2 linked regions of the Oryzias latipes genome follow. The protein of the gene in region 1 interacts with the protein of each later gene in a pairwise test. Links are inferred from orthologs where the notes say so. Each region holds a gene or a part of one and is shown on either strand. Other genes may lie near its edges. The genes, in order: rnf5 and slc38a7.

What was found.
Region 2: the proteins of rnf5 (region 1) and slc38a7 interact in binary tests that used the Homo sapiens proteins (3 or more experiments, as listed by UniProt). The two-hybrid records come from large-scale screens. The link is inferred for Oryzias latipes from reciprocal best matches to the Homo sapiens genes RNF5 and SLC38A7.

The regions. Positions count from the first base shown.
Region 1 is NC_019869.2:5,387,397-5,399,918, reverse strand, and holds the start of rnf5 (E3 ubiquitin-protein ligase RNF5), read right to left. Parts: upstream 6,132-12,522; 5' UTR 5,977-6,131; coding exon 5,795-5,976; intron 2,783-5,794; coding exon 2,764-2,782; intron 2,107-2,763; coding exon 1,994-2,106; intron 1,924-1,993; coding exon 1,866-1,923; intron 1,622-1,865; coding exon 1,510-1,621; intron 653-1,509; coding exon 543-652; 3' UTR 1-542. Other genes in the region: rRNA-processing protein UTP23 homolog, read left to right, coding at 7,340-7,527, 7,625-7,799, 8,941-9,345. UniProt on the Homo sapiens protein: Membrane-bound E3 ubiquitin-protein ligase that mediates ubiquitination of target proteins. May function together with E2 ubiquitin-conjugating enzymes UBE2D1/UBCH5A and UBE2D2/UBC4.
Region 2 is NC_019861.2:21,809,933-21,822,406, reverse strand, and holds the start of slc38a7 (putative sodium-coupled neutral amino acid transporter 7), read right to left. Parts: upstream 5,767-12,474; 5' UTR 5,652-5,766; intron 4,927-5,651; 5' UTR 4,915-4,926; coding exon 4,663-4,914; intron 4,358-4,662; coding exon 4,304-4,357; intron 3,790-4,303; coding exon 3,645-3,789; intron 3,269-3,644; coding exon 3,124-3,268; intron 3,006-3,123; coding exon 2,907-3,005; intron 2,784-2,906; coding exon 2,726-2,783; intron 2,624-2,725; coding exon 2,509-2,623; intron 2,195-2,508; coding exon 2,047-2,194; intron 1,001-2,046; coding exon 801-1,000; intron 722-800; coding exon 670-721; intron 1-669. Other genes in the region: got2 (aspartate aminotransferase, mitochondrial), read right to left, coding at 7,551-7,673, 7,831-7,981, 8,109-8,274, 8,585-8,735, 8,831-8,935, 9,747-9,908, 10,018-10,077, 10,166-10,294 and 1 more. UniProt on the Homo sapiens protein: Symporter that selectively cotransports sodium ions and amino acids, such as L-glutamine and L-asparagine from the lysosome into the cytoplasm and may participates in mTORC1 activation. The transport activity requires an acidic lysosomal lumen.

The sequences.
Region 1 (12,522 bases):
GGGAGGCGAAGCTCTGACTTTTAGTTAGTCTGAAGAGGAAGGTCGGCTCCGCCTTCAGGGCGGCTCCGCCTTCAGGCGACCTCCACCAGGAGAAACGGGTTAAGACAAATGTTTGGAGGAGGCTCCCATGGAGACTGAACAGGAACTTGGCTGCACTCCTAACCCCCCACCCCCCATGGCCAATCCACATCTGCCCACAGAGCCCCCCCCTCCTCTAAATAAAGAGGAGTTGGTAATCTGATGAATGAAGTGACCTCATCCATCTGATCATTCGGATTATGTAATACTGAATCTGAACGCCAAACCCAAACATTTCCACTTCCTAAAATGTTTTGTGAGCCCAGACGACCGCCACGACCGATTTCTGGGGTTCCACGTCGCCAGGCATAAAAAAAACGACGAGCAGGCGGGGGCTTGTGCTGCGGCGACGTGACTACGGGAGGAGGAACCTGTCCAGGTGTGTGTGTGTGTGTTCATGTGTGTTGCTGCACTCCTCCCTCCCCGTTTCCGATTTCGGTAAAACCACCTCCTCTCCAGGTCAGTCACACGCTCAGCAGCCAGAAGAAGAAGAAGATGGCCACGAACAGGAAGAGCGAGTCCTGCCAGCTGTTGTTGCCGTTCCCGTTACCTTGGTGATCACCTGCATACTGGTCTAAAGGTAAACAAGAAAGAAAAGACTTTCAAATTGAAGTAGTGAGTTTAAAAAAAATCTAAATTTGGATTTATTTTAGGCAAGAAAAATTCCACATTTAATGTAATGAATCCCCAAACTTTTTCAGACATTTCTGCAGACCGTCCTGTACGAGGCCGACATGGGCGTCTGATTTGAGTTTTTTTGTTTCTCTGAACTTTTGAGACAGAAGTTTATCTTCATTCTCTGTAAAATATTGATTTGTTCACTTGATTTCCTGTAGGAACCATTAAAATGTGAAATAAAGTTTAAGCCGTGACCATAAAAGCAGAAGACGCCAACTTCAGCCTCTTCTGACTTTTAAGATGAGACGGAAAAATACAAAAAACAATCGTGAAAACTGGATTTTTAAAAAAATATAATCTTAACGAGAATCCACTGTTTGAAGAACTTTATTAGCAGCATCCTTATAACATTAGACAGCTGGTTGACGATTATTCTGCATTATTATTATGGTCTGTGGGACCAACTGTCACAATAAATCCATATTTGGAGTAAAGACTCCTTCCTGGTTGTTGTCTGTTGAAAGCAGATTTATTTTATTTTGAAGGGGAAGGCTCTTCAGTTTCCTCTCTGGATCTTTCCACATAACTTTCTTTTTCGTTAACTTTGCTAGCTTGAAGGTTTTAATTTAGCAGTCGGTGCGGCCGCTTTAACAAAGTAGCTGATGCATTTTCGACATGAGACAGAGAGACTGGTGGAGAGAAACTGGTCGTTTTTCAAAATAAAACTTCCTTCAGAATCAGATTCGAAATAAAACTGGATAAAAGGTTGGTTGTGGTTTTTTTTTCCTCTTTGATTAGGGGACCGCTGTGTACCTGCTCTGTGGAAGGGGTCGTTGGCGTTGAAGACTGTCGTGAAAAAGCCGAAGGGGAAAGCGCCGATGCCAAACGACATGTGGAAACCGGTATCCCCGAAGCCCTGGAACATCTGAGCGCAAAGACAAACCCGACAGTCAAAAGCTACAACAGCTGGAGGAACATCTGACCTGAAATTATGAAGGAAAGTCATGTGAAGGAACATTTAGAGGCTGCTTTAGGTTTTGCGTCACACGTTTGTGGGGATTTTGTGGTTAAAAGGGTATTTTCGTGTTGCATAAAAGGTAAAAATCTGAGAGGGGAGTACAAACGGAAAAAGTCTTTTCAGAGGAAGGCGTGGGAAAGCGCAGACTCACCCCGCCTCTGCTCTCCGGCTCCGTCCTCTGCCCCTGAGGCCGGGGTGGGGTTTTCAACCTGCAACACAAACAGCCCGTCACAGAGAGGCCACGCCCCCCTCCAATGGGACTGAACACAGGCGGCGAACCTGGGGTCCTCCTGGCTGGAGCTTCCCCGTCCGTACAGCGGGATGACCTTCTCTCTGCTGATGCCCGCCTTGCACACCGGACACTGCTGCCTGCTGGGCTGCGTCTCCAACCACTGAGAAGGACAAGACGGATCTGACGCCGCTTCCACCAACGAGACAAAATGTTTGTTCCTGCAGGAACGGACTGAAGACCAACGGCTGCGCTCATGTCGCATCAGCAAACCGAGACCCGTTAAGGTCATTAGTGTCACACGGTGCAGCTTTAACGCCGACGTCACGTCAGGAGCGCCGCTTAAGCCCATTACCTCCACTTTCTCTGTGGAGACGCCGAACTGTTTACAACAAACACCTTCAGCCTAAATACAAACATCGGCACAAAACTCTACTGCCATTAGAACGCAATCTGGACTCGGTGGTTCACATGGTAACACTGATCTACAAACGCTTTAAATATCTGGAAGCCTTTTTTATTTTAAGTTGAAATAAAATGTCCTGCCGTTTACGTTGGCCCACAAAAGATGCAGAAAAACCTTCGGCCTTTTATCATTAAAGACAAAAAATGAAACCTTTTCACTGAAATCGATTAAAATGTCATTAAACATGACCAAGTACATCAGACCCAAAAGAAGAAGCTGCCTTGAGCCTAAGTTTTTCTGTAGAAATGTGTCTGAATCTTTCAAAAAAACTCCAAAAATATAAGGATCCAGTTTTATTTCTCTTCAAAGATCGAGTCAGAAGCTGTTTGGGAAAAGAACAGAGGATGGACTCACCTGATGTAGACAGGGCCAGCTGCAAACAGGAGAAAAGACAACAAATTATTCCCTTCTAAAAGCAATTTTGCTGCGATTCAGAGATTTGAAAGGAGGCTATTAGTTTAGACAGACATTTCAAACAATAAATCCGTCAGAAATGATTCGATCTTAACTCAAAACATTTGAAACAATTTTAAAAATGGAATCAGATCCCTGTAATCTGCATGACTTCCAAGCCTGCTCCAATGAGAAGCTGTGGACTGCTCCATGCAGCCCCGGCGGCCCTCAGGCGTTTTCTGGGAGCCGCCCGGCTCCAGGAGAAGCCTCGTGACTTTGACAGGAAACATGAAGCTTTTTCCAAAATGCAATGGTTACGATCCTTTCACATTAAAAAGTCTCATTTCAGGAACTCGTTTGAGTCTTTTTGCTCCCCAGAACTGGCCTTGATTCCAAGAATTTAGTGTGTGATGAGAAGAAAACTGAAATGAACCTCCATTTCTAACAGATTTTTGCTTTTTTTTTAAGGCAGAGATATCATTAAACCACCGTAAATCTACACATTTTAGAAATGCTTTGAGATTTAGTCATGAAGGAACTTGGAGCATGCAAACCAACAAGAAGGGCGGGACTTTCAGAACCACAGCAGCACTCCGGCGCAGTAATCTGCACTGCTTGGGTTTAAAAAACGGGGATCGGCGTCCCCGCAGTCAATTTAGGATCAAGGATCAACACAGAGCAAATCCTGAGTTTCAATACCAACTTTAACCTGCAACAAGTGATAAAAACCTGATTTATTTGAACTGAGAAGCCGCAGGACTTTGTGCCTTCAAAATAAAAGCTGCTTATCTCATCATTTTGTGTTTTTCAGATTACCTTTGCAATGAAGTCAGACGCATTTTTTTTGGCTCCAAACACCAGTTTATGAAATCATCTCAGAGATGGCTTGAAAAACTAATCTAAGCAGAATATTACTTTACAATAAAATACACCACATTTCAGTGAGAGTTTGTGGAAAATCCGACACTGCATAGCTAAAAGTCAAAGATGATGATGAATCCTATTCCACAAGCAGCTTGATGAGATGTTGCAGCAGGTGAGCTGATGTCATCAACTGACCTCCTTGCTTCAAAGTTTCATCATGTTACGTACAGATTTGGGGGGGGGGGGGGGGGGGGGGTAACATAGCAACGACGTTACATCAGCGCACGCCGCCGTGGGAGCTGCAAACACAGACACGCACCAGCTGGTCCACCAGAACTTGATCCGGTACTGGACCGGGATTTAACCCCCAGAGAGCTCCGGAGCGGTTTTTCCTCTGGGGGTTTTAAGTTAATTAGACTTTATTTGTTCTTCTTTTTGTTTATATTAAGTAGCAGCAATCAACGGCTGGTTAAGCTACAACAGAAATCCTTCCTCTGTCTGAGAAAAAAAACGGCGTGTTTGTACCGATTCATTCAACTGGACAGATTTTCTCTAAAACACACCAATACTTGTTTTTATATTTACAAACTTCTAAAAAAAGAGTGACACTATATTAAAAGACATATAATGGATACAATAAATGCAAATATATGTGTGGATTTATTTTTTTAAATGTCTCAAAGTTTCCTGAATGTCTAACATTTTCTCTGTTTTACCAACTTTTTCTATTTCTGTTCAGCAGCTTAAAGACAAAACTGGCTTCATCGCCTCCTTCTGACAATCATAGCCATATCAAATATACATTTTCCAGCTTTTCAAACAGAGTACAGGAAGCGCAGAAAGAGAAATGAGAAGCGGTTTTAATAACGATCGGCTGTGACATCACAAAAGCCAGCAAAGAAAATGAAAGGAAATATAACCAACAGTAATCAGAGTCGCTCTACAACCTGATCTATTGATGAATAGTTCCCTTTTAATTATGATGGTGCTGTTATGCCACTTCCCATCATGCATCTGTCTACACGCTGTCCTGCTGGCTTACAGCCCCTCACACAACCCCAACTTAATCTGTGAGCTTATGGCCCGCCCAGTTTATTTTCTGTCACAAATACGATCTTTTTCAAACTGAATTTTTTAAAATTCTGCTCCTGATTCACAATGATTTGAATAACAAAATACTCAGAAAATGTTTAATTTTCTCTATAATTGTCCTCTTTCATCGGAAAAATGCCACAAGAACATGTTAAACATTTTTAATAAATCACTTTCATGATTTGTTTTTATTCTATTGCAAACCCCCCCCAAATGAGCAAGAACTGTTGAAGGAAAATGTACATTTGCATTTTTTTACAGCTTCTTCAATACATTCCAAAGATTATATTTTCCTGCACTTAGATTTTAGTCCTTCTTGATCAATTCTTTTCTGGATTTTGCACAATAAACAATCTCTGATGTGTTAACCGCCTTAAACCACCAAAGTCCAAGCCTGTGCTTGTTTCCACACTGAACCCTTCGCTGCTTTCGATTACAGCTGATAGGAACCTGCTGACCCTGATGTCACATCAGCGACTCCCAGATTAGTCACACAAAAACCACTGAGTTTGTGTGAACCGACAACATGAAGGTTGAAGGTTGCGCAAGTTTGGATCACAAGGGGGAGAAAATGCTAGAAAGTCTTTGGCCGCAGGTTCCTTTCAGATGTGGTGAGCTGCCAGTTCAGATTAAAGTGGATTTAAACAGAATAGCTGATTAAATCACAGCAACAAGCTGAAGCAAGTTTGGCTCATCACAGACTGATGTTAAAGTTAGAAATGGTCACTAAGCATTTACAATAAGAGTTAATATGTCACAGATTAATACGTCACCTTTGACTGACAGCTGATAAAAATGCTGTAAAAAATGTTTAGGTGTAATGCAGTAAAACAGTTATGACCTGCCTCTGTAAAATATTAGTTTGTACTTTATTCTTATTTTTAATATTATTATTATTGTGGTTTTCAGCGAGGGGCGTGACTCCGCCGTCAACAGCTGACGTTAAAGAAGGCCGCGCGCGCGCGGGCAAATAACATCAAAAGATCATGGAAAAACACCCCCACACACTCTAATAACTACTGTTTTGGTTTCGTACCAGAACAGGTGTCCGCACATACTGATGACAGCGTCCCTGGCTGTGTCCAAACAAATATTGCATTCGAAGGTGGCCCGGTCCCGCTCGCTTTCCCCGCTGCCGCCGCCTGGCCCGTCGCGGTCGTTGCTGCTTTCCCCCGCGGGGAAACCTCCTCTGGAGTAGCGGGGATCCGCCGCCGCCATGACGGTTATCGGAACAGCGAAGGGAAGTAATCCGAACTGAGTCAACCCAAGCCACTCGTGCCCGACTGGTACTAGCGTTAGCCGAGTCCGACACTGATGGTACAGTCTTCACTTTGGACTGAGTTGTGGCTGCTGCTGCTGTCTGAGAAACCACTTCCGTTTCCGGTCAAAATAATGCTGTAAGAGTCGGGGGGCGGGGCTAAAAATGTAAATACAAACGCCTCATGGAGACTGTACAATGATTATCGTGGTTATTTACTTTTTAAGTGTATTTTCAATGTTTATCATCTATCTGCGGGTTTCAATTGCACTATGGTATCAAAATAAATTACTTTTTACCGGATCAATAAAGTTCTATTCTCTTCTATTCTATGAAGCAAGGCCAATGTTTAAGGTTACATCCGGTAGTGTTTTATTTTAAATAACCCTTATTCATAAATTCAAGAAAGGCAAAACAAAACAAATATTGTGATGTGTCAAACTTATACACACATAAACACGCGCGCACACACACACACACACACACACACACACACACTCATACACACACAAATACCTGACAACAACAGTAATAACTAATGGCACACTGAGAAGATTTTAAATAAACAGCAAAGAGTCTTGTTTTTTTTTCTATATTAAGTTTAATTAAACCTTGTTAACCTCTTGACTGATAATGTTCACTGTCAGTGGTGCAAGTTGCATAGTATTTAAAGTGTTTTCTTTTACTTATTGTCTTGTGTCTTGTTTTAATAAAATGTTTAAAAAACAAACGGAAATGACAACAATGATAATTATCATAAAATGATGTGTTCTTTTGAATCAATTTAATACAAACAATAGGGCAGTCAGTAATCAGGATGTAAATAACAAACAAAGACAAACAATTGTTTCTAAAAAATTTCAAAAAACTAACATTTCAAAATTCTGTTATTCAAGTTAAATTATAACTATATATCCCAACCGTTTTTTTCCTTCTTCAATACATTAAATGTATAACTGCATTTACTGTATTAAATTAACCGGGATAGGCATTTTTTTAAACTGACAGAACCCGTTAAATCTGAAAACCAAACATTAAAAAGATTTAAAGATTAAAAGAAAGAAAAACAGTGTCTTTTATTTAAAACATTATTTTTTTAATTGACTCATTTATGAACATCCCCGTTTCAAAACCGGAACTTTAAGCAGACATCTTTGTTTCGTTCCGGAGCTATTAGGCCTACGCACAAAACCGTTTGAGTACAGCTCCACGCTGATTTAGGATCTTATTTTGACCCTTTTTGACTGCAGAAAGAAGACATTAATTTAAGTTTAAAGCTTTGTTTTTGCTTTCGCTAATTTCTTTTTTTATTCAAGGCGGAACATGAAGATCAAACGACAGAAACAAGCCAAGAAAACGATTAGCTTCTACAAATACAACTTCAGCTTCAGGGAACCTTTTCAGATCCTCATTGACGGGACTTTTTGTCAGGCGGCGTTGAAGAATAAAATTCAGATTAAAGAGCAAATGCCGAAATATCTAATGGGTGAGGTGCAGCTGTGCACCACAAAGTACGTACATAACCGAATGGTATTCTCTGTTGTTGTGTTCAGAGTCTTTGGTTGTTGTTGTTTTTTTTAAATCCGTTTTATTCGTTTTCACACACAGTTGCGCTCTGAAAGAACTCGATACTCTCGGAAAACAGCTTTATGGAGCCAAAATTATTCTGCAGAGGTTCCAGCTGAGGAAATGTGCTCACTTCAAGGACCCGGTTCCTGCGTCAGAGTGCCTGCTGTCCATGCTGGAGGACACAAACCCGCACCATTACTTTGTTGCCACGCAGGTACATTTAAATGGACGAAGAGCTCACTTATTAATAAGCAGAACCGCATAGATTTTCAGTTTAGTGAAGAAAATCTGAACACAAGGTGCTGCATATAACTGTCAGGATCAGAAAACTTTCTGCTCTTTAACATTTAACTCCCTAGATTGCAAAAACAATACACATTCATTGAAGGGATGACTGGAAACACGGCAGTAAGGTTCATTTTGAAACATAAAAGGGTATTATTGACTTTCAGCAACAAAAAACCTAAATGTCACTTACTGTGTTTATTGTAGTATGATTTTTAGGGTTTAAAAAGAAAAGTCTCTTATGGCCTCAGATTTGGAAAACAACTAGAGGAGGAAAACAAACTGTTGCTAAACCAAACCATTTATGGAAATTTACTTTTCCCAAATAAAAATTAAAGTATGGCCCATGTGACAAACCCTTTTTAAAAATCTTTGAACATTTTTCTTGTTGGTTTATCTCAGGAGTGGGCAATTATTTTAACTTGTGGGCCACATTGGGTTATAAAATTTGGACCGAAGGGCCGGACCAGGAGCAGATGTGTGGAGTGAGAAAGAAATAACATGGAATGTAGATGAAAACATTTGGATTGAAAAAAATTTTTTTAAACGTAATATTCTAGAGTTTTTAGGTTAAAACTTTCGTTCCCATTTTAGATCTCTTTTTTTATTGTGAAGCCGTTTGGTACCTTCAAGGAGTAGTAAAGTGCTGTATGAATAAAGTTTCATTCATTCATGATCTGTATAACAATATAAATAACATTATTTATGAAATAAAGCAATGACCAAATAACACCCTATGATTTTCAAAGACAAAAATTCAGGAAAAATATACTGATATATATTAAAAAAAACACACACACACACACAAAAAAACAATAAATAGTCGATCCTCTCCCGTCATAATCCTAATAAAGACTTTCAGGGCTGCAACTCATCACGTATGTTAGTCATCAAATTTTAGCACCTGAAATGAAAGTTTAGCTTCCTGTGTGAATCAGAATACTTTCAAAATAAAAGCCATTTAAAATATAATCGTAATAGATCCATAAATGTACGTTTCAGTCTTAAAGCAATCTCATAATCAGAGGAAGTAGCTGGTAAAATTAGATTTCGGTGTGATATTTTTACAGGATCATACGGTGACTGCAGGCCTGAAGAAGATTCCAGGTGTTCCTCTGCTTTACATCATCCTCAACACCATTGTGCTGGACAAGCCCAGCCAGGCGTCCCTCAGTCATGTCCAGGCCGTCCAGATGGGAGAGCTGGTGAGCCCTGCTCAGCAGAAGAGCATCCAGAGCATGAAACAGGAGCAGGGCATCAGCAGCAAGGACGGAGAGAGCCGGGGCAGGAAGAGGAAGAGGAAACAGAGCAACCCCAACCCTCTGAGCTGCCTCAAGAAGAAGAAGAAGAAAGGAGCACCCACACCCCCTCTGAAAAAAACAGAACCGGGGGAGAAGAGAAAAAGAAGCAGACACAAGAAGCAGAGGACAGCGGGGGACCGAACAGCCACTCCCACCGGGACAAATACTGAATGAAGCAGAAAAATGAGCCGTTTTTTCTAGGAAAAAAAATCCCAGAAGATTCTTGGACAATTCAGAATAAAAGATTTTACTACAAGAGTATTTTCCAAAATTACTCCCAAAATTTTTAAACGACCTTTGGAAAAGTGGGTTGTTGTTTTTTTTTCTTTTCCTTTGCTCGGATACAAAATTAACAGGCAAGCTCACAGACACATATTTCAAAGCTGCCGACAGTTCATTAGAAAATCAATCCTCTCAACTCCGGAGGCACAAAAGGATGTGGACTCACTGAATTACCCCAAAAAAATGAAATATGAACATCATACTCTGTCATACTGATGGTTATCAAACAAAATCCATTCTTCATTCATCTTCTTCCGTTTTGTCCCTTTCGGGGTCATGGGGCTGCTGGAGCCTATCCCATCCACTTATGGGCGAAGGCAGGGGGCACCCTGGACAGGTCGCCAGTGTGTCGCAGGGTAGAGCGTCCACAATCACACACCTAGGGACAATTTAGATGAACCTATAAAGCATGTTTTTGGACAGTGGCAGGAAGCTGGAGAAAACCCACACATACATGGGGAGATCATGCAAACTCCACACAGAAAGGCTTGATGTTCTGGTTCATGTCCCCCAGCCGGGACTTGAACCGGGGGCCTTTTTGCTGTGAGGCAAGAGCGCTAACCACTGCAGCCACAGAATCCATTGTGTCTTTTGTATGATGAGCTAATGTCCACTCATGACTAACGCTTTAAAATAAAATAAAAACATCAAATTTTCTGATTGGTAGAAATCTATTTTTTAAACACAAAAGTGCAGTTTCCCAAAACATTTTGGTGCATCTTTGTTTTTAATCTACTGGATGATAGGTGAACCACATTTAGGACTGAAGCTGAAATCATTGATTACATTGAATTGAGAGAATTGACTAAGCAACTTCAGCTGCTTTAGCTTTTCAGATTATAGGATTTCTTTCACCTCGTTTACTTCCTGCTCCTATAATCTCAACATATTCTTCGTCATTTTCACACAACTGAAACAAAAAAGTTCAAACGCCTGATTCATGCTGTGGAACCTTAAAACAAAAAGCAGATAAATGCATCAGACGACACAGAAACTCTGCAAACAAAACTCGATTTCTACTAATTCCTTATAAAGTTGATTCAAAATAAGTTCCATAAATTATATACTTGAGGTGACAAACAGCTCAGGCTCGATATCAGACACTGCGACAGCCAGTTGGGCAGACTATGGAAGAACAAAACCAGGTTCCAGGCACTCCGGGTCCCTGTCTTCTCTCCTAGAGAGGAAATCTGCTTCAATGTTCTTAGTTCCTGGTCTACAAGGAGAAGAGAAAGCAATTTAAAAAAGCAGTGACCACCTGGCTTGATGGGAATTAGGTCTCTTGGCTGAACTTAAATATTCCAAATTCTTGTGGTCAGTGAACACACGAAACGGATGTTCAGCCCAGACCAGAGAAAATGAGTCTGGGATGAAGTGGAGAAGAGAAGCCACCTGACTGTAGCTGCTGAGGAATTGGCGGTAAAAATTGACGGAGCTCAAAAACCGTTACAGCTGCTTGCATGATTCAGGAGGCGGCCAATCCACGTGCGTCCCCGCCTGAGCTGGCATCTGGATCTAAACCAGCTCCAATTTTTGTTGCACTGGTGGTGTTAGGTTGGGGTTGTGAGGGGGAGCTAGCAGGTGTGCAAACAGATGAATGATGGGAAATGGGGCGGGCTCACTGTGCACCAACACTACCACGCACAACTCACAGGTGAATTTCTAATAAACTCCTGCTGCTCCACCACAGAAATGATGTCCTAGACAACAAAATGTTTTTGGATTTTGGCTAAAAAACGTCATCGTAGTAATTAAAAGACCACTGGGAGTGCTTTGAAAATAGATCAAATGATGATCGGAGTGGGACTCCAGACCTTCATTTTCCAGCTTTAGACTCATCTCCCTAATGCTCTCTTCACCCCCTGAACATTTATAATAAACTCCTCCTCTGTTCCTCTTTTCATCCACACCCTGATAAAACAGCTTGATCCTTCTCCCAGCCTTTAAGCCCTGCTCTCCTCTCTCATTGAGGTTCTCCTCAACCTTAATTCAAATGTGCAAATTCAAGTTTTCTCCTCCATTCTCCAAAAGAATTGCTTATTTGTGATCTGAGAAAGAGACATGCTCAAATTCATTTACTGACAGAGATTTATCAGAGATGGTCCACATTCACCTGAAGTGTAGTTTGTGTTGCTCACAGATCTGAAGACCCTCCATGCTCTTCTCACGCTCCACACAGTTCTGCATAAAATGGAGTCATAGCTCACATCTGATGAGTTCTGACAAGTGAAACTGCTCTGCCTTTCTCTTCCTGCCACGCTCATCCATCTATCTTTGTACAGTACTGTATGGCTGACAGGCAAATCAAATGCTCAAAGTGCAAAGAAGCAGTTTGGTTTTTTCCTGCTGGACATCAAAAGGTCAGTTTCCCACGTCTCTTTGTTTCTGGTACATCTCATTGAAAAAAGCATGAGGTCTCCCTCGAGCTGCACATTTGAAGGCCCCGACTGTGATTCCGGCTCCACTCATAAGTTAGACGGTAACAGTGGACCGCTGTCCCCGTCTTTGTGCAGAAATCAGGAGAAAGAACTGCAGCCTGTTGCCAAAAAGCATCCCTCAAACCCCGGAGGGGAACAGATTTGACTTGGGGACAAAGAGCCTGGTTATATTTCACAGTAGGACGGCCTTTGTATCGGCGGTCCGGCCAACACTGAGGCTGTGTCTGCGCCGTGCCCAACCTGTCTGACTCCCAAAGTGACAAGCAGGTCTTATTTAGGAGGAGTGCTGAAAAGCTCCTCCATCTGGGCGCTGTGCATGCAACCCTCCATCAGAAACAGTGAAAAAGGGGGGGGAAGGGGGTGGCGACCGTGTTGCAGAGGGGCTCTTTTCACTTCTTGTTGGAGGCAACAATAGTCTTTGTCCAAGATCTTCCACCATTCTTACGAGGGCTACCAAGAGGAGGAGGAGAAGGAGGAGGAGGGGGTGTTCCTCCATAGTAACAATGACAAAACAGCTAGTTCAGCTCTGAGAAGGCAAGAGGAGCACGGAGACTTGTGCAGGGGGTGCTGCGTTCGCGTCAGGAGCGGCTTAAAGGGAATCTCGCAGGAGGAAACTGCGACTTTCTCCTCT
Region 2 (12,474 bases), on another chromosome or scaffold:
GTTTACATCAGAACCTCCCTTAAAAGTACACAGTTATATTGACAACATGACTAAGTAATTTGACTGTCTTGTTCGTAGACAATGACACAAGGACTTGACATTCTGATGGCACTGAGATGTTCAATGACATAAAGACTTAGTTTTGAGAGATGAACTAAAGATTTTGAGCAAGTTACAGGCTTTTGCAAGAAATCCATAGTGTTTTGCTGTTTGTACAAATTGTTTGGAGAAATGCACACACGTATTTGCAAAGTTCAATACTGATCTGAGAATTGTACTAAAGTGACTGAGAAAAACTGTAAACAGAAATGCAGGCAACTCATGATTTATTAGCCCAGTTTACATGGGAATAAAAACATCCAATGTTTATAAAAAAACAAAATTGTAGCAAAAGATTACAAAACATGGTTTGAGTATGCCGTTTTTCCAAGTAGTACCAATATAAAAAGTTGACTTAATGTGTCAAAGGCACTTGTAATCTAAGCTTTGGCCTTTTTCAGCCAAATACGTCTAATTTGGACTTTATAAAAGCCTACAGACACTGTGGAAATCTCACTTAATGTCTCAAGACACAGTAACAGAGCTTTACATGCAGTTCATCTAATGCAAGCTTCAATCACACTTAAAGAAATATTCCACAAAAGCAGAAAAAAAAATAGAGCATCTCACCTCAAAGATCGGCTCTCTGTCTCTGACATTTTTGCTTGCATCAAACACAAACCTGTTAGTAAAAGAGCAGACAAACATTGCAGTGTGTCATGGATAGGGACAGTGTATTTAGAAGAGAGCACAGGACGCACCTGGAAACACAAAGATGAAACAGGCCGCCAGCCCTCCTATAAGTGAGATGACACGGCCGATGTCTGGGATGAAGAGGGCGAGGACCAGGGTGACAACAAACCACACCAGTGTCTGCAGGATCCTCCTCCTCTGCTCGCGGCGCACGCATACCTCCACCTGTTCACCTTGAAAACGCAGCCAAAGTCCTTCTACGACTGCCCTGCAGGGACACCCCATTACAGCAGACTGCAGTGAGGAAATGCTCCACAAATTTGGCATTATGAAAGATGAGAAGTTTATTGAATAAAAATTATGTTAGCCATACTCAGTGTATCAGCTGAAAAGGATAATCAATAACATTAATTCAATTCAATTTTCTGTATATAGCCCAAAATCACAGCAACAGTCGTTTCAATGGGCTTCATACCGGTAATTGTAAAGTACACATAAAATCAAAAGGATTGTGAATACATAAAATTCATTAAGGAAATTCTAAACTGAACCAACTAGACAGACTAAACTAAATTAATGAACAAGTGAAAGAAAGGACTCCTTTAAATATTCACACAGCTTAGTGGAAATTTTGCATCGACTTACAAAGTAGACAATGGCAGAGTAAAACTGATTAAATGATTCATCAACTGATTGATTGACAGCTCTGCTTTGTTTCAGCTTCAGTTTTTTTTTTGTTGATCAAGACTGCATTTATATGACCTTCTTAACACAAAAAGGAACCACTTTTATTTTTTTGTATTAAAATGATCAAATGAATCTTTGTTGTCTGAACCATCAGAGAGTCTTTCAACCTCTTTCTAATCATAGCAGACTGCTGTTGATACCCTTGATGTTTTCACAAACGTCCAGTGCTATTGTCTCAAAGCAAAAGTAAAGTTGTAATTGAAAAAAGATCATTTATCTTTGAGCTATTTGTAGAAAAATAATGAGAGTATAATGGGGTAGTTAAAAAAACTATAAATTAAAGACCCACTCCAATGAAAATGGAGTTTTTTTATGTTTTTGTAACTTTTTTATGATAAAGGCAAATAATATTAAAATTGCATTTCTGAGTATTTCTTTCTTCAAATCGTTGTGAATCAGGAGCAGATGAAAAAATGCAGCTTGAAAAAGCTTGTGGTTTTTACATACAAACTATCAGTTGTTATGTATGAAGGTTTATCTCAGAGGGTGGTGTCCAATATTTCTCTTTATTAAAATGTTCTATTTTGACAGAAACTAGAAGGAAAGAGAAGTTGTTGTTTTTTTTACCTGCCACAGAAGTGTAAAATGGGGTAGGAGGTGATCACACAGATGACGATGAATGCTCTTGCAAAAGCCACGGCGATGTCATCTGAAGGGTACGACATCAGCACATCCTGATTCACGCTGGAGCCAAAGGTCAAGTAGCCACAAACGCCTGCCACACAAAAGTCTTCATTCAACAAAGTATTTTTAACAAGATTACAACATAAGCATCTTTTTTTTTTTCAAACTTGCTTTTTTCTATATAAAAATTGTTTTCTAAGGATGTACGCTGCTGTCCATCATGTTTTGCACCCTTTTCAATTTTCTTTAGATGAATGTGCTTTGGATGATTGAATGCCGTCTGCAGCACCGAGGAGACTTTCTTTATCAGCTTGTTTATTTTTGAGTGACTGGCTGGGATGCAGCTCTACTCAAAAGATATGCCGCATCCTATTGAGTGTGCATTGCTAATACACGATGACATACCTGTTCCTGTGTAAACAAAAAGGCAAATGATCATGCTGAGGGTCACGACAAATCCCCAGGGTTTAATCTCCTTCTTTCTCATGCTGTTGAACACTGGCACACAGCTGACGTGACACTGCAGGGGGGATGAGAGGAGAACACTTCAGCAAAAACTAAAAAATAAAAACCTCCCGGACACATCATGTTAGAACGTCAATCACAACAAATGAGGAAATACCTGGAAACCGAAGCATATTGTGGGCATTGCATTAAAAACTGCCGTCCAGGAAGCAGAACTGTCACAAAAACAAAAAGAGCAATTTATTCCAAAGAAGCCGGGATGAAAATATGAAGATGACTTCAGCCAAATTATCTGTAAAAACGTTTTTTAAAAAGAAGTGTCATAAAAATGGATTTACCTGGTGGGAATATAAGCTGGAGTCACCTTTTTGTCTGGCCAGATGTACCTCAAAATGACCACAATTGTGACGTACCAGGTTCCAATTACACTCAAGGTACTACAGAAGAAAACACGAGATGATCCTCATGCAGAATGACCAAACCCAACCTTCTCTAAAAAGATTTAATTCTCCATGTAAGGAGAAGCTTCAAATAACTGTAAAAGGTTAGGATTACCTTGCATACTTCTGAAAGCCGATCTCTTTGGGGATGGAGAGAGGAAGAATGACCAGGATCGCAGTAATGACGGTGGTAAACTTGCGGTCAGTATACCAGTGGTTACTGACTTTTCCATCTATTTTATCCTCTACAGCAGCAATCACTGCAGCAACAATCAATGATTACAGAAAGTTTTCACGTAGAAATTGTAGATGTGAAAATAACTGTGCAGGAAATAAAATGTAAACATCTGAACAAACAGCAGATATGAAGCGTTTCCACTGAGTCAGCTCCTCAGCTCAAGGATATGTGAAGGTTTGTCACATGAGAGACGCACTCACCGAGCAAAAAAGCTGACTGGATTAAACCAAGATACTCTTTGCCCTCGTCAATCCCTGCACTAGCTTTACTTTATACCACCACTAAACTAAATAGAGAAAAACCAAACCTAACCACCACTGTTGAAAACAGCACAGTGCTTCACAATTTAAGATTACTTGGAGGTGAGTGGAGGATTGCCCACTCCTGAATGCACTTACAGCGATCCAGCTGGTCCCCGATGACAATGAAGAAAGCGATGCAGGTACCAAAAGTGTAGATAGCGATGGCTACCTCACATAAGACTCCGGTGACTTTTCCACACGTGGCTCGGACAACCTCTTGGTAGGTGGCTTCATTACTGACCTGGAAAAAAAACAGATAAATACAAATATAAAACATGCATGAGCACTTTTGGTAAAGTGTTTCTCCCCAGGTATTCACACATAAATTTGACTTTATATCCATTTCCTTTTTTTATAGTTTCTAACCAGCCAAACAGACTAAGCTCAATGTAACAGACCTGCTCCACCATAAGATTAGTCCTTGAAAGAAGCTATTCTAAGAACTTTTCTAAAAATCTATTAACACACTATAACTTTTTCAAATGTACACATTTAGGAAAATAGATAAATGCTGCTGATTTGACACTTTATCACTACGCATATTTAGCACATGAGCTTATGTCTGAGCTATTAAGGAAGTGAAAGTCCAGCTTTTCGCTGAAGCTTCAAGAAGAACCTCACAATTTGCAAAAGCATTCTGTTTTCAATACGTTTTCTTAAAATGACCAAGAATTGGAGAAAAACAATAAGACCAAAAGCTGCACACGATGTCAGGTGGAACAAAACACAACATGAATGTAAAATAAAGCACATACGAGGGAGCAGTAGCCCAGGATGACAAGCCCACTGATGATGAAGATCAGCATAAACTGTAAAGCAGAAGCAGGAAACAAAGGGTTAACATAATGCAGAAAATGAATGCAATTTGTCACCTTTGAATATAAAGAACAGAGGCCTTTTAAATTGCTTTACGATCCAAAGCTATAAGGCATTTAGATTTTTTGTTTGTCTCCGTTTGTCTTCTCCAGAGGCTAGAAAATCCACTCAAGTACATCTGATTAGATCCAAAATCAACAAATCTGAAGCTGTTTGTTTAGCTTTTAGCACAACATGTGATTGTGAGGGAGACCGGGGGAGAAAACACTTATCAAGGATAGTACACCATTCTCCTTACCATCTGAAGCACCACTCCTGCAGTGACTCCTCCCGCCATGTTGAAAGCAGCTGGAAAATTGAGTAGACCTGCGCCCAGAGCTGCATTCACAACAATGAACACGGCTCCCAGGGTTGAAACGCCCCTGCTCCTCTCAGCCATCTCCGGGTGCTGGACAGAGTCCACACTGGGGCTCTGCAGGAGCCATGCCCTTTCTCCAGCATCATTGCTGCCGGTACCACCCCAGTCTTCCACATCAGTGTTAATCGCCATCAGAAAGTTAGCCTTCAGAGTCAAACATAGACAGAATTTGTTACTGTCAACATTCATCATGAAAAAGATGTATTATTTATCAATGAGCAACAAAAACCATAACAGCAGCACACCAGTGTTAACCTTTAATTTTTCTGACTTTTTTTTTTATAAATAAGACAACGTGTTCTGTTATTAATACCCAAAAGTACTCCTAAACACATTTTATTTAAACATTTTCAGTACAAACCAATAGATTCTTATGCAAACCTACTGAAATAAAAGTCTTAATCAAAAGCAGGCTGGCTTGTGCAGTCTACAAACACAAAATATGCGCTACAATCACTTATGTACTGTACTTCTAAACAGGAGGAAACCTTAACTCATTGAATTCATGCTTTTGTTTTGAAAGTCCATTTATTTATGTTCAAATTAAAATGACTATTTTTTCTTCCTTCATTAGGAGGACATTGCCCTTGTATGACATGTACTAACGTCGAATCTGAAAGCAAAATTACTAAAGGAAAAAAAAAAAGATTTAAAAAAAGAAAGCCCCACCAATAACCGTGAATGAAATCCCGGTTTCTGTTTTAAAAAATGAGCTAACAATTTAATTACACTGGGAATCAATGGCCAAGGCAGCTTTGTTCTTTGTCTTTGTTTCGTAAAAGCTAATTAACAAAAGCTGCAAGCAAATGACAAAACCAACACAAACAACTGTTTTTAGCGTCACGTTTGAATCAGTCTTTAACACTTACATTCGGTTTGGTCCCGTCGTGATTTCCTTATGTTTAGCAATGGTCACAGACTGTAGTGTTTTGGCCGCTCGTAGAAGCGGAGGAGCACGTGACAGTCATGTGACCGGAAATTCACCTTCTGTTGAATTGTGGGAGTTGTAGCTAAATGTGTCAAACCATTTCAACTTTACGGACTTTATGTAGTTTATTACACATTTCCCTAGTCATTTAATTTATGTTTTTCACGTTTTTATTTTATAAATATTAAACAAAAAAATTTGTTTTATCGTATCAATATTAAGATAAGTGTCAGATAAACTATCACAAAGTTAAAAATAATGAAAACTAGGGGTGTAAAAAATAAGCGCTAAATGGATTAATCAATTTCTATACCTACGATCCAACCAGATCAATCTGTCTGAGACAAGTTGTTATTCGAATCCAACTGGATCGACCTAAACCCTTAAAATTGTTTCTAAATTAGATCAATGATCGGTATTGGACAGTACCATTTGAATTGAGACATGGGTTCATGTTACTATAACGTAAAAACGATCAAGCAAAAAATCGATCAGGCCATCATTACAGTCCAATGTGTGGAAACACAGAATTTTGTAAAGACGTGATGATGTGGTAGAAGGTTTTTTATGTTTCATTTGGATTATTTCTAGGTAGAAAAAAACAGTGGGCTGAACTTTATGAATCTAAAATGTGAATGGATTTACCATGAATTCTTGTTTGTTGGTACATATTTACACTTAAAATACAAGGAATCTGGAAAACATCACCTGTAATGTTCAGTACCTGAGTCACACTGATATTTTGGCTAAAGATGTCCTGGATCGATTTCAGGTCAGTGAATTCGATTGTTCAAAATGATCCAAAATTGACTGTGAATCAGATCGGCAACAACAAAATATGTGAATCGAATCATTAAAACAAATCGCTTCATACCTAACAAAAACAGGTTTTAAAGCTGCAAAAACACATAATTAAAATAATCAGCACACACTTAAATACTCATTCCATTACAGTTTATTGTTCTTTTTCGGGTTTATGACAAATGACCATTTATAAGCAGACAATGGAGGTGAACTTCAGCAATAGGTTAATATTTTGTTTAAATCCCACTGTTAACCCCCCAAAAAGGGAACTCCAATCATCAATATTACAGGTTTGAGCTTTCACTGTCAACATGTGAAAAGGTGGCAATATATGCCAACTTTGATAAAAAAAAAAAATATATCCACACAGAATTTGAATCTATTCTTTACACTTAACTCTTTCCTGTTTGAATGGGGAGCTTAAACAGATAGACAGAAAAAAAGGAACATGCGAGGTTTTCCTTACATGGAGCCAGAAACTACCGAAGGGCTGATGAAATTAAAGCAAACTGATAACCTGATGAATGCCTGTTTAGACAGCCAAGCCCAGTGACAAGATCAAATAGTGCCATAAAACATAAAGTGCTGCACCACCACCATTTCAACAAAAAAAGAAGAAAAAAGAATCCTACAGGATTTGACAGAGTAACAGGCATTTTTCCTGACACATAAAGCCAGCAAGCCTTTGCCCAGTGATTTTATTTCTGGGTGTTACATGATGACAGGGCTCACAGCAGAGAAGGTAACAATCAGAAAAACCAAATGGTACGACAATTAATCCCAATTAATAAATAAATGTGACATCTACTCCAGAAAGAAATATGTCATTGCTAAGCAGGGGAGAATGTTGACAGGAAAGTTCTGAACAGGTAATTGGAAAAACAGCAACCGTTCCACGATGAAATCATGAAATCCATACGAGAATGTATTACTAAACAATGAGCTCTTCTCTAAAGGTGGGCTGGAGAAGTGATGCATAAAAGCTCCTCTTCAACTCTGCAGCTTTGATTCTGTCGCTCTCCAAACAGAAAACAGTCTACTTGGTGACTGCGTGGATTGCCTCTGCGAGGTATCCCACATTCCCAGAGGTCACGCCTGCCATGGAAATTCTACCGTCCTTGGTCATGTACACAGAAAACTCCTTAGTCAGCCTCTCAACCTGCAAGCACAGAACAACATGCATCAAGTCAAATTTTTAAAACACCCACTTCCTTTAGGTTTTCTACAAAAACCGGCAACATTGTTTTACTATTTCATCTTGGTGAGACAAGGAAACCTATAAGTGTACTGTAATTTGACCCAAAATGTTAAAGTACCTGCTCAGGCTTTAGGCCTGTGAAGCAGAACATCCCAATCTGGTCGATGACGTGCTGCCAATTGTGAGAAGATCCGTGTTTTTTCAAACCTTCCACCAGCTGCTCCCTCATTGTAATGATGCGTTTGGCCATAGAATCCACCTCCTTCAGCCTACAGTCCACACAAAACAAAGAATGCTGTTAAAAGAAAAAGCTGGAAAATTATTCATTTGAAGTTTATGAGGGATCAACTTTTTTGAAGAAGAAGAAGAAGAAGTGACTGCATTTTATGTTTGTACCAGACTGAGTAAAGTTCTGGAGTGTTCAAAATCGTGGAAGCGATTCTGGCCCCATTCACTGGTGGGTTGGAGTAAATGGGTCTGATGAGAATCTTGATTTGGGACTCCACCCTCTTTGCTTCTTCTGCGTCGCTGCAGACTACAGTGAAGCCTCCCACGCGCTCACCTGTGGGTGCACGTCAGAACATTGAGCCAGATTACTCAATGAGAGTCAAACACTTTGCAAAGATTAAAAAATTAACAGCACAACTTCAGCTACAAGAGTAGCTGCTGCATAAGGATCCACAATGGTGCTACTAACTAGTTTTGGATTGACATGTAGATTTTTTTTCAATGATTTTTTTTTTTAAAAGTCATATGCATATTTGCCCACTAGATGGCAGCAAAACATGATAGCATTTTTCTTTAGTGCTACAACCCCATAGTGATCCTTCAAATCTCAATGGTCTTAAAGGTCTTAATCTTAGTGGACTGACCATAGAGTCCCATGTTCTTGGCAAAGGACTGTGACAGGACGATGTTGTGTCCCTGTTCGATGAAGTACCGCACAGCCCAGGCGTCGCGATCAATGTCGCCACTTGCAAAGCCCTGGTAGGCCATGTCGAAGAATGGCAGCAGGTTTCTCTTCTGCAAGAGTCACATCACAACAGGGACATACAGTGAAAACAACTTGTTGACACAAAAAAAAACCACCTTTAACACAATATACCACAATTAGGTACCTTCACAACTTGCGCAATCTCCTTCCACTGCTCAGGCCTGGGGTCCACGCCGGTGGGGTTATGGGCGCATGCGTGCAACAGAATCACACTCTTCTCTGGGATTTTCTATCACATAAAAGGTTAAAGTTTGTCAACCTAAACAGTAAAATACTAGAGACTCGTGATTAAACTTGTTACTGAACATTTTATCTTAAAATGTTTTTATAAGAACTTGTTAAACACTGATCCCTCGTTTATTGTGGCGGTTACGTTCAAAAAAATAACCGGCAATATGTAACATCTGCAAAGTTGAATTAGAGATGTTTTAAAGCTGTAAAATAAAAAACCTCACTACACAGTATACACTTCTCAGAAAAACATGAACATTTTTACACTTTTTTTTCGTTGTTTAAACTCTTAAAGTTCAAACCTTCATAGAAAAATAAGTCTAATATTAAAGAATATTATGAGGCAACGCTGTACACACAATGGCAGATTGTGTTAAAGTAGAGGCAACACCGTGATGAAAACTAGAATCAAAATGATTCTGACTAATGTCGTGCTAAAGAGGGGAAAAAAAAGGCATAGTAATTTTTCCTAGGGGACTTAATTCTTAAACCCAATCTTCATTTTCATGAGAATCTGAATCCAGTGCATTTTTTGAAGAGGTATTCAAGACGTTTCTTTGCATCTTGTCAAAAACTGTAATACTGCAGTAAAATCTTTGATTTCTGTTGATATCTTACATCCTGCCCCTAAACTGTTCAAAACAAATCTAGAACCAAGTTGTCAGACTGATCACAAGACCATAAGGAGGGGGGAGGTTAAAAGGGGCTTTATATATCTATATAGATATAGATAGATATATTTTTTTAAAAACCATTACGATGATAATGATCTCTAATGCAATCTATCTGGACCCAATCAGTTGCCTTACAGAAATATCCCCAAGAGCTCCGTTGAAGTCAAAGCCACAGGTGGAAGGGTCATAGTAGCGGTATGCTTTGAGTTGCATGCCAGCATCTCTGAAGATGGGTGTATGGTTTCCCCAGGATGGCTTTGGCAGATACACGTCATGTGGACCTGCGTGGAATCTAGCCTGAAAATAAGAAGGATAAAAAAAAATGATGACAAAAGCAGCAAACCCTGAAAGCAGTAAATGTACGTCAGTTTATTTTGTCTGGGGTGGTGGTGCTGTTGAAACTCACCAAAAAGTTGCCTCCTATGCGCAAAGATCCTGTGCCTGAGATGGTTTGAACAGTGATGCTCTGTTGGGGCACGCATATGGAAGCACTTATGAGGATACAAAATATTTGATTTATTCTCAAGTTGGATCAACAGACTTCTCCAACTTACCCTGCCGCTTTTTAAAACCTCACTGTCTGCTCCAAGAGCCAGCTGGGCACAGGCTTTGGTGAATTCACCCAGACCCCCAATGGCAAGGTACTCCTTATCCAGCTGTTTGGCTGCAATCAAAGATTCGGCCTTCGAAGAAAATGAAATCCCTTACAGTTGGTCTTAAAAAAGGAAAAAAAAAAAAACACTTGACATTTAATTTTACTATTTAAAACTCTTGAAATGCCAAAACTGACCTCTTTATTTAGATCATTTCTGCTGACATCTACACATTGTAAAAATAACTATAAGAACTTTAAGTGTTTCTCAATTTATCCCACAAAGCTGTTATGGTTACGTACAGAACACTTTATCAGGAACAACAATGAGTTCAATGTCGTGAACCAGAAGACTTGACCTGCCCAGGCCAGGAGGCCTTTCTATTGGCTCACAACTACCAATCAGAAGCTTGCCTGAGCTCCAACCTCTCTACAGTTAAAACCCAATGAAACTGTAAACCTCCCCACTCGATTACAGACTGTTTAGCAATCCACAGTAAAGCAGGGGTGGAAAAAGTGCCACGGGCGGTAAAAGAGACAAAACATGTCAAAGGGGCAAAGTCGTTGGTTGCATTGACTGTTGTACCTTGCGAACACAGCTGAGCACAAAGGGCTTTCCCTGGTCATCCCTGTAGGCTCCTACTCCAAGGTTCATCTTCTTCGGGTTGGTGTCCCTCTTGAAGGCTTCTGTCACCCCGAGAATGGGATCAGGGGGCCCCATCTGCACTCCACCCCACCATGAGCTACAATTTAAAAAAAATGATGATGGTATGAGAACACTGAAATCATCCGCACGTACATTGTGATAGGCAGCAGTCTTACTCGTGCATGAAAACATTCCTGAACCTTTGTGTGGTTAAACTACCACCACCCTGCTTCTGTTAGCAGCTGTAGATTTCATTTTCAAATCTAGCCCCCTCACTTCATGTGACCCAATGACACTGCTGAGTGGGACCAGCAAACATAATCCAATCTGGAGTCTCAAAGTCCAAAAACAAGATCAGCCGCAAACCTGAGCTTAACAAGAACAACCTTGTTAAAATCCCCTCCACATCGACTCCTTTACTCCTGCCATGAAGACAATCAGCAGGAAACTGTGTTGCTGCGGCGATTGCTGGGAAGATTAGATTAGGACCACTGGCCTTTGAGAGCAAGGTAGTTCTGAGGTGATTCTAAAGTTCCAACTAAAGTGCTGCTGATGATCTTTGGAGTTCTAAAAGGTTGAAGAGCTGCGGTCGGAGAGGAAGGTGGAAGCAGGTCCATCTTTGAGGAAGCATTTCGTCCATTTGATGTTTTATTGTAGTTTTTTTTGTTTTGTTTTATTAGTTAATAACTTGACAAAAGAAAATGCACGTCAAATCTTAATACATCAAATGTTAGAATGTCATGAAGTCAGACCTGTTGACCCCCACCTGGGAATCTGCAGATAAATATGCACATGATGGTGCTGCTAAGGTCACATCAAGCCTTTTCACTGCAACTTGGGTGAGCAGTTTCTCTCTGAGATTCTAAATACTGGTGACTGCCAAGATCCAGTTTACACAAACTAAAAAAAATTAGGCCCACAGAGGCTGGGTAAAGTAAAACGGGTCAGAATTACAAACGTTTGTGCAAATAAAGGCTGTTTTACACTCAGCTGTGCTCTTGCCCAACATGTCATTGTCTCAGGTTTCCACTACTTTGTTAACCACCAAACTTTGCAGCTAAATTTAGGGCAGGCCTTTTGCAAAGGGCAAGACGCTGCAATCTGCTACTTTACATGACTTGCATTTAATCAAACTACAACATAATTTGTAGCTGCAGGTAAGTTTGATGCAAAGATATTTGTTTTTACAATAAATGTAAAAAAAAAAAAAAAAGAAATCCAGAAAAAATTAAGGAAACGTGAAGGTCATAAAATTCATTTTATGAATTGTAAGACCATTCTCACAAAAACACACTTGCATGAAAAGAAAAATCTCACAGCAAACATAATGAATGCAGCCCATTTGGGGGATTCCTGCAAAGACAGACAAATAAATAGTTTTCTACAATACTTAAACCTTTACTAATCCAATTAAAATCACACCGAAAAGATGACTGGAGGGCCTCACAGCTTCTGAGTGACGCAGTTTGTCTGCACACAGAACCTTTGAACGGCTTAACTTTACAGTTAACTGGTAGCTCAGTGTGAACAAACATATATAACGTGGAACATGTCTCTTCTCATGTTATACCATAACATATTAAGTTTAGTTGTTGGATCTGAAGTTGAGCTACAATCTTGTAGCT